Ovis aries: one gene and its partners. The protein of the gene in region 2 binds, or shares a complex with, the protein of the main gene of each other region. Links are inferred from orthologs where the notes say so. Each region holds a gene or a part of one and is shown on either strand. Other genes may lie near its edges.

What was found. The genes of interacting proteins can lie anywhere in the genome.
Region 1: the proteins of S100A10 (region 2) and HLTF are in contact, whole or in part, in a crystal structure (PDB 4HRE), measured with the Homo sapiens proteins. The link is inferred for Ovis aries from reciprocal best matches to the Homo sapiens genes S100A10 and HLTF. Residues at the interface, in NP_002957.1 of Homo sapiens: Phe42, Asp58, Leu59, Asp60, Gln61, Gln70, Ser74, Leu75, Ala77, Gly78, Leu79, Ile81, Ala82, Tyr86; in NP_001305864.1 of Homo sapiens: Thr32, Phe33, Phe34, Pro35, Phe37, Phe39.
Region 3: the proteins of S100A10 (region 2) and ANXA2 are in contact, whole or in part, in a crystal structure (PDB 4FTG), measured with the Homo sapiens proteins. The link is inferred for Ovis aries from reciprocal best matches to the Homo sapiens genes S100A10 and ANXA2. Residues at the interface, in NP_002957.1 of Homo sapiens: Phe39, Gly41, Phe42, Asn45, Gln46, Ala51, Lys54, Ile55, Leu79, Ala82, Cys83, Tyr86, Phe87, Met91; in NP_001002857.1 of Homo sapiens: Val4, Glu6, Ile7, Leu8, Lys10, Leu11, Ser12, Leu13.

Annotation. Positions count from the first base shown.
Region 1 is NC_056054.1:239,824,509-239,828,024, reverse strand, and holds part of HLTF (helicase-like transcription factor), read right to left. Parts: intron 2,967-3,516; coding exon 2,800-2,966; intron 1-2,799. UniProt on the Homo sapiens protein: Has both helicase and E3 ubiquitin ligase activities. Possesses intrinsic ATP-dependent nucleosome-remodeling activity; This activity may be required for transcriptional activation or repression of specific target promoters.
Region 2 is NC_056054.1:101,966,205-101,970,283, reverse strand, and holds the start of S100A10 (protein S100-A10), read left to right. Parts: upstream 1-1,264; 5' UTR 1,265-1,316; intron 1,317-1,588; exon of another isoform or gene 1,589-1,872; intron 1,873-4,079. UniProt on the Homo sapiens protein: Because S100A10 induces the dimerization of ANXA2/p36, it may function as a regulator of protein phosphorylation in that the ANXA2 monomer is the preferred target (in vitro) of tyrosine-specific kinase.
Region 3 is NC_056060.1:48,019,916-48,023,431, reverse strand, and holds part of ANXA2 (annexin A2), read right to left. Parts: intron 1,826-3,516; coding exon 1,735-1,825; intron 824-1,734; coding exon 744-823; intron 1-743. UniProt on the Homo sapiens protein: Calcium-regulated membrane-binding protein whose affinity for calcium is greatly enhanced by anionic phospholipids. It binds two calcium ions with high affinity. May be involved in heat-stress response.

The DNA.
Region 1 (3,516 bases), about 140 Mb from region 2:
TGAGAAGTTAATAGAGTTATTTTTTACATTTAATTTTAAGTCCCATTAAGAATCATGTTAAATATCTGTCACGTGCAAATTTTACTTGGAAGTAAAACAGAAAGAGATTGTGGAGGACCGAGAAGCCTAGAGTACTACAGTCCATGGGGTTGCAAAGAGTCGGACATGAATGAGCAACTGAACAACAACAAAAAGTATCTAACTGGGCAGACTAGCAAGAAAAAGAACATGGAGGAGGACCAATAATGAGAAGGTAAGGGCAGTTTTTAGGATCAGAATGCCAGAAGAAACTGAGATAGAAGTGTTTAAATACATAAGATAACCTATTACCAAGGTTGTAAGATAAGTAAAATAGTAAGTTTACTTGAGAAGGTAGAGCTTTCACTAACAGAACCACTGAGTGTAGCAACCCAATCTGAGAAAATGGGGAATGATTTCAAAGAATTATTTCTGATTCAGGATTTATTGAAAGTTTACTCTCAACATCTGAAAAGCCTGAGAAAGGAAATGAACTGAAAAAGGAGAAAACAAGTAAATAAGTGAGAAGACACTGCTAAGTATTTATCTTCCAAACTCACCTTTAAATATTCTAAACAATCTACACTAAAATTTAGATCACAAACATAAACGCATACAAAACACAACCAAGGAGACTGAGTTTTAAAAAAGGAACAGGTGGTAAAACTAAGAAGGGATATGCCTAATTAATGCAACAGCTGCTACCTAGCTCCAGTCAAATGATGTCAAGTGGAAATCAGTATCCTGTATTACCAGATCTTCCATTTATCAAGAGAAAACTTTGTAAATAATGTTTTATAATTAGGGAAAAAATAATATGCATAAAATGCAGAACATCCACATATTTTAATACTGGAAATAACCGAAAAAATTTAAACACTGCAGGCAAAATCAAACTCATCTGGAACTGATCACAGACTATCAGCTTACAACCAGATTTAAACAAACATTCCCAAACTTCTAAAATCAATACACTAAAAGGCCTTTTTTTCTCCTCAAAAAAATTAGAGATACCAAGGGAACATTTCATGCAAAGATGGGCACAATAAAGAACAGAATTGGTATGGACCTAACAGAAGCAGAAGATATTAAGAAGAGGTGGCAAGAATACACAAAAGAACTATACAAAGAAGATAACCACCAAAGATAACAAAGAAGATAAACCCAGACAACCACGATGGTGCGATCACTCACCTAGAGCAAGACATTGTGGCCAGTCAGGTGGGCCTTAGGAAGCATCACTACGAACCAAGCCAGTAGAAATGATAGAATTCCAGCTGAGCTATTTCAAAGACTAAAAGATGATGCTGTGAAAGTGCTGCACTCAATATGCCAGCAAATTTGGAAAACTCAGCAGTGGCCACAGGACTGGAAAAGGTCAGTTTTCATTCCAATCCCAAAAATAGGCAATGCCAAATAATGTTCAAACTACTGCACAATTAAACTCATTTCACACACTAGCAAGGTCATGCTCAAAATGCTCCAAGCTAAGCTTCAATAGTACGTGAACCGAAAACTTCTGGATGTACAAGCTCGATTTAGAAAAGGCAGAGGAACCAGAGATCAAATTGCCAACATCCACTGGATCATAGAAAAAGCAAGAGAATTCTAGAAAAACATTTGCTTCATTGACTATGCTAAAGCCTGTGTGGATCACAACAAACTGGAAAATTCTTTAAGAGATGGGAATACCAGACCACCTTACCTGCCTCCTAAGAAATATGTACACAAGGTCAAGAACCAACACTCAGAATCGGACATGAAACCACCGACTGGTTCCAAACTGGGAAAGGAGTACGTCAAGGCTGTATATTGTCACCCTGCTTATTTAACTTATATGCAGAGTACATCATGCAAAATGCCAGGCTGGATGAAGCACAAGCTGGAATCAAGACTGCTAGGAGAACTATGAATAACCTTACACATGCAGATGATACCATCCTTATGGCAGAAAGCAAAGAGAAACAAAAGAGCCTCTTGATGAAAGTGAAAGAGAGTGAAAAAGCTAGCTTAAAACTCAACATTCAAAAAACTAAAATCATGGTGGACAAAGGTCCATCTAGTTAAAGCTATGGGTTTTTCCAATAGTCACATATAGATGTGAAAGTTGGACCAAAAAGAAGGCTGAGTGCTGAAGAACTGATGCTTTTGCACTGTGGTGTTGGAGAAGATACTATAGAGTCCCTTGGAGAGCAAGAAGATCAAACCAGTCAATCGTAAAGAAAATCAACCCTGAATATTCACACTGGATGAACTCATGCCAAAGCTGAAGCTCCAATACTTTGGCCAACTGATGCGAAGAGCCCACTCATTGGAAAAGATCCCGATGCTGGGAAAGATAGAAGCCAGGAGGAAAAGGGAACAACAGAGGATGAGATGGTTGGATGGCATCACCGACTCAATGGACATGAGTTTGAGCAAGCACTGGGAGGTGGTAAAGGACAGGGAAGGCTGGCGTGCTGCAGTCCATGGGGTCGCAAAGAGTCAGACATGACTGAGTGACTGAACAACAACAAAAAGGCTTTTTTTCCTAAAAGATTGTATGGACTTTTTAATATTTGAACCAAAGTCTCTTTTTCTCCATGGTAATAATTTACCAGGAAAGTGAGGGAATAGCTATCTGATGGTTAGGGTAGTGCAGGCAGATGATAAAATTAAAACATTTACTGAACATATACTAAAGGTATAGTCACAGAAGTTGTCAGAGCAACTATACATATCCTTAAATTCAAGATCACCACAATTCACAATTATTGAAACTAAACTCCAGAAGTGCATTACCCTTCAATTTGTGCCAATTTGTTGTCCATGATATAGGCCAAGGCAGCTGCAAGATCTTTCTTTATATGACCAACCTGATTTCCATTCACATTGTTTACTTTAATTGCATTCTTATCATAGGGGTTATTCGGCTCTCGTTGTAATGCAACCATTTCATTATTATTAACCTAATAAAAATAAACAGATATGTTATAAATAATAAATATATGATAGATTTCACTGTACTTTATCTGGGATTTCCATTCATTTTTTTAATGCTTGCTGAATAACACCACACATAAGAAATGTACATTTTCTTAGACTCATATTTCTACAGAAATATTACAGAATATATTTTAAAATAATTCTTTTGCAGTATTTTCCTAATTTACATTAATTGGAAAGTTAAAAAAATCCTTGATATATAAAAGGTATAATCAAAACTAACAGATACACATTATATAAAATTCCCAACATAACTTCAAAAACAGATAATCTCCTGAATGCTTATTACATACCAAACATTGTTCTAAGTACCTTATACAGACTGACTTTCAAAACTGTCACAACCCTACTGGTAGGTCTTATCATTATCTCCATTTTGCAGATGAAGACACTAAAGCACAGGAAAGTTAAGTAACTTGTCCAAGGTCATAAAGTTAATAAGTAGCAGAGCTTAGAATTTGAATCCAGGCAGGCTGGTTCCTAAGCCTAAGTTCTCCAGAATCTGAAAGGGGA
Region 2 (4,079 bases):
TCAGGTGTTCTCATTCTAAATCCAGTTGCATCTTTCCTGGAACTAAAGGGACCGAGAATTTTCTCCACTCTTGACTGTAGCCAACAGCCTAGGAAGAGCTTAGGAAGCCTATGGGAAGGCTGCAGAACTGCCCCCTTGAACGTTCAGCACCAGGGTTGAGGAACTCAGTGGAGTGAGAACTGAAATCCGAGTTTTCCTGGCAAGAGCTCAGATTAGTCACATGGAGGCATTTGGAGGATTCCCCAAGACTGCTCATTCCTCAGGGATCACTCACTCCTCCCAGGACCTCCCCTGGGAACAAAGGAAAACCCAAGACTTGGGACTGGGCCCTTTTCCACCAACAGCTGCTAGTAGTTTGCATTTAACCCTGAACCACAATTAAAATAAATGTTGGGGGTGGGGGAGTGGATAGCACCAGCTAGGAAACCCTTAGGTTTTCTCTAAATTACTTCCGAAGTGCTTTGAGGACCAAACAGGCCAATTTCAGGGGAAAAAAAAAAAAGGAAAAAAAGGAGATTCTTAAACAGGTTTTAATCATGTCAACTACAGCCGAAACTGAACGCCAGACCAACTGCCACGCACGCTAAGAGGGGTCAATTTCCAGTTCAACGAAAGGTTCTTAATGCCCTGGAGCTAAAAAGCCAAACAGCACCACCACCCCCTTCACTGCGGCGGGTAGTGAACTCGCCTTCTCCGAGAACAACCCTTAGGCGGGGCGGCGGGTGAGGGGGAGACCCCCCGCAGGCCTTGGACCCCCCCCCTCCCAATTTACCTCTTAGAGTCTAATCTGAAACCAAGTCTGAGGCCTTTGCGTCAGGTGCCCCTCCCTACAATATCATGTAGAAAATAATTCCTAGACCTGTAGTTTACAGACGAGGAGCTTACAATCTGGTTCCGGGCCAGCGCGCCCCACCCGCAGAACGACTGGATTCTTTGATTTCCACACTTACTCGCTAAAAGCAAACCCTAGAGGAAGGGCACGAAAATATTCGAGAGCATTTGAGTAGGAAGAGTTGACAATATCTTTCTCTCTGGGGGCGGGTGGAGGCCTGGAGCGAGGCTACTCCGCATAGCGAGAGAAGGGTGTGTGCGCTGCGCCCGGGGTGTGAGTGTGGCGGGGCGGGGGGAGAGGGAGGCGGGCAGGAAGAGGAGGGAGGGGAAGAGGTGGGGTGAGCCGAGGCCCTGCCACCCGCCCAGGCTCCTCCTGCCTCCCCCCGCCCCCCACCCCCACGTACTAAGGCGCCCTGCCCGCGGCGCTGTGCTCACTGGCCGCGCGTCCCCGCCAGCCGAGCGTCCCCGCTGCGCCTCCCGCCAAGGTGAGTCCTGCCCGCCGGTCCCGGGCGGTCCCCGGCCCCACAGCCCGCGCCCGGGGAAATCCCCACGTCGGCGGCTCCCGCTGGCCAGGCGGTCTTCACCGGGCGTCCCAGGTGTGGGGGTGCGACGATGGTGGTGGTCCGGCGTCGGCTGGGCATGCGGGGGTATCCTCTCCCCGAGCTCTGGGCCACACCCCAGCTGGGCGAGCACCTCCCCTGTCCCTCCCCGGCGCGACCCCCCCAGACCCCCAGAGGAGGGAGCACTTGGCCTTTACCAGTACTTCGGTGTCGGTGCCCCGGGGTCTGCTCTGCGCTACCTTTCGGTATATCTTTGTTTACACCCCTCCTGCTTTTCGACTGGTCTCCGCAGTTACCCGAATCCCTGTTTCTGGCCCCCTGTCCTGGCCGGCTTGTTTCTTTGTGGGCTCCGGCTGCAGGCTGACTTCTGTCCAGATGTTCGTAGCCTCCTAGCTGGACGGCCCGTGCAGACTCGGAGAGGGCTGGCGGGTTCTCGCCCTAAAGGACACCCCTCTGTCCCTCTCCTCGAAGCTTCAAGGTTGGGCTTCCTGTTATTTGTCTGCTAGACGAGAAGTTTCTCTCTACCAGCGGAGGGAAGACGGCTCTATTTGTTTTCCTTATAAAACAGTTTTGCTGAGGGGGTAAGGGGAAGCCATCACCTTCGGCCACCACTGAAGTGGGTTTTGTACTGAAAGGGTTCCCTTCTTGCTATTTTAGTGGATCTATACAGAGATAGAGGAAGAGCAAGTTTAATGAAGGATCTAACACCCCAGATTAACCTGGCCCAGTAAAATGAACTGTTGGTACCTGGACACAATTTGAGCCTGGCAAAGGACTGGTGCTTTGCCCCCAGACCTGAATACCGCACTCTCCAGCCTCGGGCGGTCTCCACCTAACTGAAACCCGGAATCTGCCTTGTTGGGCGAGGGTGGAGGGGCCAGCAGAGCAGCTAGCCCTGTGCCAGGCACCACGGGGCCCTGGTCCAGACTCTGGAATACGTTAAGCCCACCCGCTTCCCTCCCTTGAGGTTTCTGCAGGGCGTGGTTAGCACAAAGGGCTCCCGGATTCTCCTAGTGGAAGCCTGTGACTCAGTTGTGAGACCATGTGGGTGTGGTCTGGATGGTTCCAGACTCTCTGCAGATGGTTCAGACAGAACACTCCCCTGAAGGAAAAGGGGAACTGTGCCATTTTAGAGGGCATTTTCCAAGAGGAAATGAGTCACACCCGGACAGGCCGGCCATCTGAAGGAGAGGTTTCTTGACTGAACTGTGGTTGAGGACAAGTTAGATTGGTAGGGTCATGGCGTTTCAGCTGCTGGGTTATGGGTCTGGATTCCCACTGGCAGGCTGCCTCAGCTTTATTTGGGAGGTAGTGCTTCCCATTGAGAGGTTTGCAGTTACTGCAGATTCTTTTTCCCCTACAGCATGAGTTTCAAACTGCAGCCGTGGACTTATATCCTGCCCTTCAGGTGAGGCCAGGCCCACGGAAACACCCTGTCAGTGATCTTTGCCTCCAGCATATTTCATCAAATTGCAAAAGGTGATGCCAGGCATTAGGGCAGGAATGAGTTCACAATTCATCTGAAATTTCTTCCTCAGCCCTGCCCGCACAGACTCCTGTCTGGTTTCTGTTTAATCATCTCTTCCAAGTGATGTATTCCTCCCTTGACAGCCAGAAGCTACTTTCTTCACTGTGGTCCTTGATCCACCATTTGGAGATTCTTATTTTGTTTCTTCAGATTCTCCTAATGGTCTTCTGGGCATAAAGCACTCTGATTTCTAGGCGATGCTCTTCCCCGGCTTTTCCTGTGTACAACATCAGATGGCCCCCTTGCCTCCCATGTCTGGCACCTGGCCAACCTCTCCAGCAGCTACTCTCCAGTGAGGTCAGGCCTTGGGCTGGGTGGAGCTGAAACTGAGTGCCTCTTTGCTTTCCACGGACAGCTCCAACCCTGTGACTTTTTTAGAGCACTACCCACTTGGTATGGCCTTGATCCAGTCCAGTCTTTTAAAGTTGAAGGAAACAATGGAATCCTTTCAGAGATATAAAGTATAGATTAGCACTCAGACTGCTAGGAAAGCTGATCTTTTTAGAGTCTTAAGGTTCTCATTTTTCTGAGACTCAACAATTTAGGAATCTCACATCGAAAGCAAAAAGAATGATTTTTAACGATTTTCAGCACTTCCTGGCCCTTTATTAAATAACTACCACCTAATCCAACAATGGATTTAATAGCTGTTGTCACAATGGCCGTTTGCCAGTTCTGGCTGATACCTGACAGCTCTTCATGGAGAATTGGATGTACTTTGTTAGGGTAGGAAGGCCTCAGAGTTCTTCCTATAGGATTGTATCTGGAACTCTTATTTTGCCGCTCATTTTCTTAATGGGAAAATTTTATGTTTGGTGAAAGGTGGGAGAGACAGCCTGGATTAGATCCATTGCCTCAACTCACTTTTGCTGAATTCCCTTTAGGGATCAAATTCAAGAATGCCTTTGGGGTTCAATTCCCGATCCCACTCCCCTTCCCTCACCCCCCTTTTTTTTCTTTTTAAAATCATCAAAAAGAAGGACACCTAAGACACGTTTTAGATAACATGTTTGTTTTTACTAACATTCTGCTAATTGTTTTTTGGGTGGGCTGTAAGAAAACTAGGGCATGGACAAGACACAGAAGAGATCAGACTTCTTGCTCTTTAGAAATCTCCTTTTTGAAATTATGGCCTGGATCTGGGCATGGGTCCATAGCAA
Region 3 (3,516 bases), on a different chromosome or scaffold from region 2:
CAGAGGATGCCTGAGGCAGTTGAGGGTTTGTATGTGATACAGCAGAAATGAGTTTTGATCAGGGTATGAGTAAAACAGTACAAGTAGATTTCAAAATGATGGGTAGGTGACCAGACTCAGGGCAGGTGGTAGAGAAGGGAGCTGGGGAGGGCGGAATGGAGGTGTAGGTGGCCAGGATGGAGTGTGCCCACTTGTCTTCAGGGTTCCTGGATGAAAATTCCTCTTCCCTTGCAGCGCTCAGAGTCATTAAACTGCACATGGGTCAGAACTCAGACTTAGAAGGGAAGTGCCTTTCAGCTACATTAATGTGTTAACCTTGGCAAACAAGCAAAGAGCTTCTCCCCAGGCAAACCACTACCTGGGCAAACCATCCCCTAAGAAATTATAACAGGTGAAAGAAACAAGAGGGTCACTTCCCACTGGGTCCTATGTGACAACATAGAGAGGCAAAATGACTTTCCCCAAGTCACAAGGCTGGCACAGAAATCCAGGCCAGGAGCTAAGAGCTGCCTCTTCCACCTCTGGCCCCAAAGTCCACCTGACCATACGGTTTTGCAGGATAAGAAATCCTATTATACAAAAATGACAACTCTGCAGTTGACAGTGCAAACCCACTGTCAAAATACAGCTGGAATTTCTGATGCAGGCCCAGAGGACTGAGTTAATTCGCTCCCGAGTATAAAATGAGGTATGTAACTTGCTTTGGGAGGAAGCAAGGACAAAGAAACGAGCCGGAAACTAACCTTTGCGAGGGCGACCATCAGCTTGCGGAAGTCGCCAGATGTGTCGGAAACAATGTCCTTCTCCAGATCGGTCTTGTACACTTGGAAAACAACACATCTGGTTTAACACCTCCTGCCTACGCAGCCAGCCACCCTACCCATCCTCTGCCCACTAAGCCTCTGAAAAGCAGAAATCTGTGGCAGCGTGGATGTACCCCTAAAAATGAGGGTGGATTCTCAAGAAGGAATTTTACCCTCATAAAATCAGAACTAGTATTATTATATTATTATCAGTGACAAGCAATACACAGAGCAGGATCAGACAGGGAATTCTCAAGCTCGCCTTTGATTAGGGACCTCCTGTCTAGCTAAAATACTACTTCCCAAACTTCTTGATTATACTTATTTAGAACATGAAAAAATTTGGAGGACTACACACACACAAACACAATTGTGCTTTATATCCACTGATTGAGAAAATGCACAATGGCAAAAAATTAGTAAGAATTAAAGGGTACTTTTGAATGAATTTGTATTTTCCTACTCAACACCTATGTTGAAATGAAGTACCGCACACCAGGCATGCTGCATCACTCACTCCACCTCTGGCCTCCTCTACTGCTTGGCACACGTGGTTCTGCTGTCTCTTGAAACAATGACCCACAGTCAAGTCTGGGAATCGCCTCAGCAGACACAGGACAGCACTCAGTACATGAAATCCACGGGGGATACTTTCTACTTCTCCCCATCAGATCTCTTTTGTTTGATAGTCTCTGCTTTCCCTCCCATATATCCTTCTGAACTAGTTTTAGGGGGATGTAGTCACAAAGACCAGGCTATCAGGAGATGGAGGAGAGTGACCTGGTCACAGCAAACCCCTGGACAGTCCAGATGGCAGGTATTTCTACACATGGAATCAAGGGATCCTATCCTGAACACCAGACCAGGAGGCCAGGACAGTGGTCCCAGACACAAGGTGGAGTGGATGCACCATGGACCTGGGGCTACTCACTTTCCTTGTAGACTCTGTTGATCTCCTGCAGCTCCTGGTTGGTCCTTGAGCAGATGATCTCAATGAGAGAGTCCTCATCAGTCCCCAGCCCCTGGGAACCAGGCAGCACAGACATTAGCAGGGAAACCCCTCCCGGCCACTAGCCCACTTCTCTGAACTCAATCAGGTAAACTGCACGCATGAGTTCGGTCTACAGTGCGTCCCTTTCTGCATTCCTCCTGAGGGATCTGTACTGAGTCCTTGGCACAAGGTAATGTTATATTCTATTCCTTTAAAAAAAAAAAAAAGCTTTACTAGAATAAAGGACAGTTTAACTGGCATTTTTTATTTTTAGCTCAACTATATATATATATATATATATATACACATACACACACACACACACACACACACACACACACACACACACACATATATATATATATATATATTTCCCCACTATATATAAACATATAGTTAAATGGGAAGAGACAGTAATGGAATATACCAACATGTTAGAATACAGCCCTTTTTGGCGATGGGTTTATAAAATGAATAACTTCATCTTCTCTTTGTTTCTTTATTTTTCAACTCCTCTAATAATCAGCCATTATTTTCACAGATAAGAAATCATTTACTTTATTACACAATTCTGCTCATTAATTTAAAATAAAGGAATATAGAGATTTTGAGCTGTTGTTGGCAGCCAGCATTGTTAGACTGAAATAAGTCTTTTATGAGGGAAAGGTATAGATAAGATAAAATTTTTAGCTTTACCTCTTTGAAATGTAAAACTGGGTTAATGTTAAAAATTTCATTCTTGTACTTCCATTTTTGCTTGATTACTATGCACTCTTCAGGCATTTTAGAGAAGCAAAAGGAAATAATGAAGCGCCAAATAAACCTAGACACCAACACTTTATTAAGGAATGAGAATTTGATGGGTGATGTATTCAAATTTAATATATACACTTTTGAGCTGGCGTGCCAGATAGCTTGAAAGGACTCAGTGAAACATGTATTTCAAAGCTGGCTTCATGATCAAAGTCAAGATTTAATAATCAGGATTCTCTAATACTCATCTTTCCGAATATGGAAATATCACTTTGAACTAAGCAGAATTACCACTGTTTAAAATGTAAATCAATTATAAGGTGTTAATACAATAAGAAACTTACTTATCCACATGAGAAGTGTGTCAGCTATTAATTAAACTTATTAGAGTTTATGTGCCCCTGAAAAAGTAGTTTGTATAATATGAGCTAAGCCTCAGGTTAATAGTTAATTCTGAATTTTATTCCTCAATCTAATCTATGAGCCAAAGCCTCTTCTCCCAGAGTTTTTAATCATGATTTGTAGAGGTGCTTGCAAAACCAAAATTCCTTCCCTTAGCAAAAGGTCTACACAACATTCTATAAGAATATTATACAGAGACTACCAAGCATCTTCACATATTTTAAGGGGCAGTTTGTCAATCTCGAGGATGTAAATATAGTCTAAAAAATAACTCATGCATTGGAAGAAATGTTATTTCTTAACATTGTTGAAATGTAAAATAGGTACAGCAACATAGATTTGTTTTCTTGCATCACTGATATGCCCATTTTAACACAGGAAAATTCTGAGTGTTTTTTCTCTATATTTAAAAGTGACCTTGGCAATTTCAAACTTGGCCCAAGCTCTCCACAGACTGTCCACAGTTCCCATCACAAGGGCAATGTCTACTGTACCATACGGCAGATATTGCCAGTGGTACTGCCAGAAGTCAAAACAGATTTTTTTTTAAGCATTGTTCAGTTAATG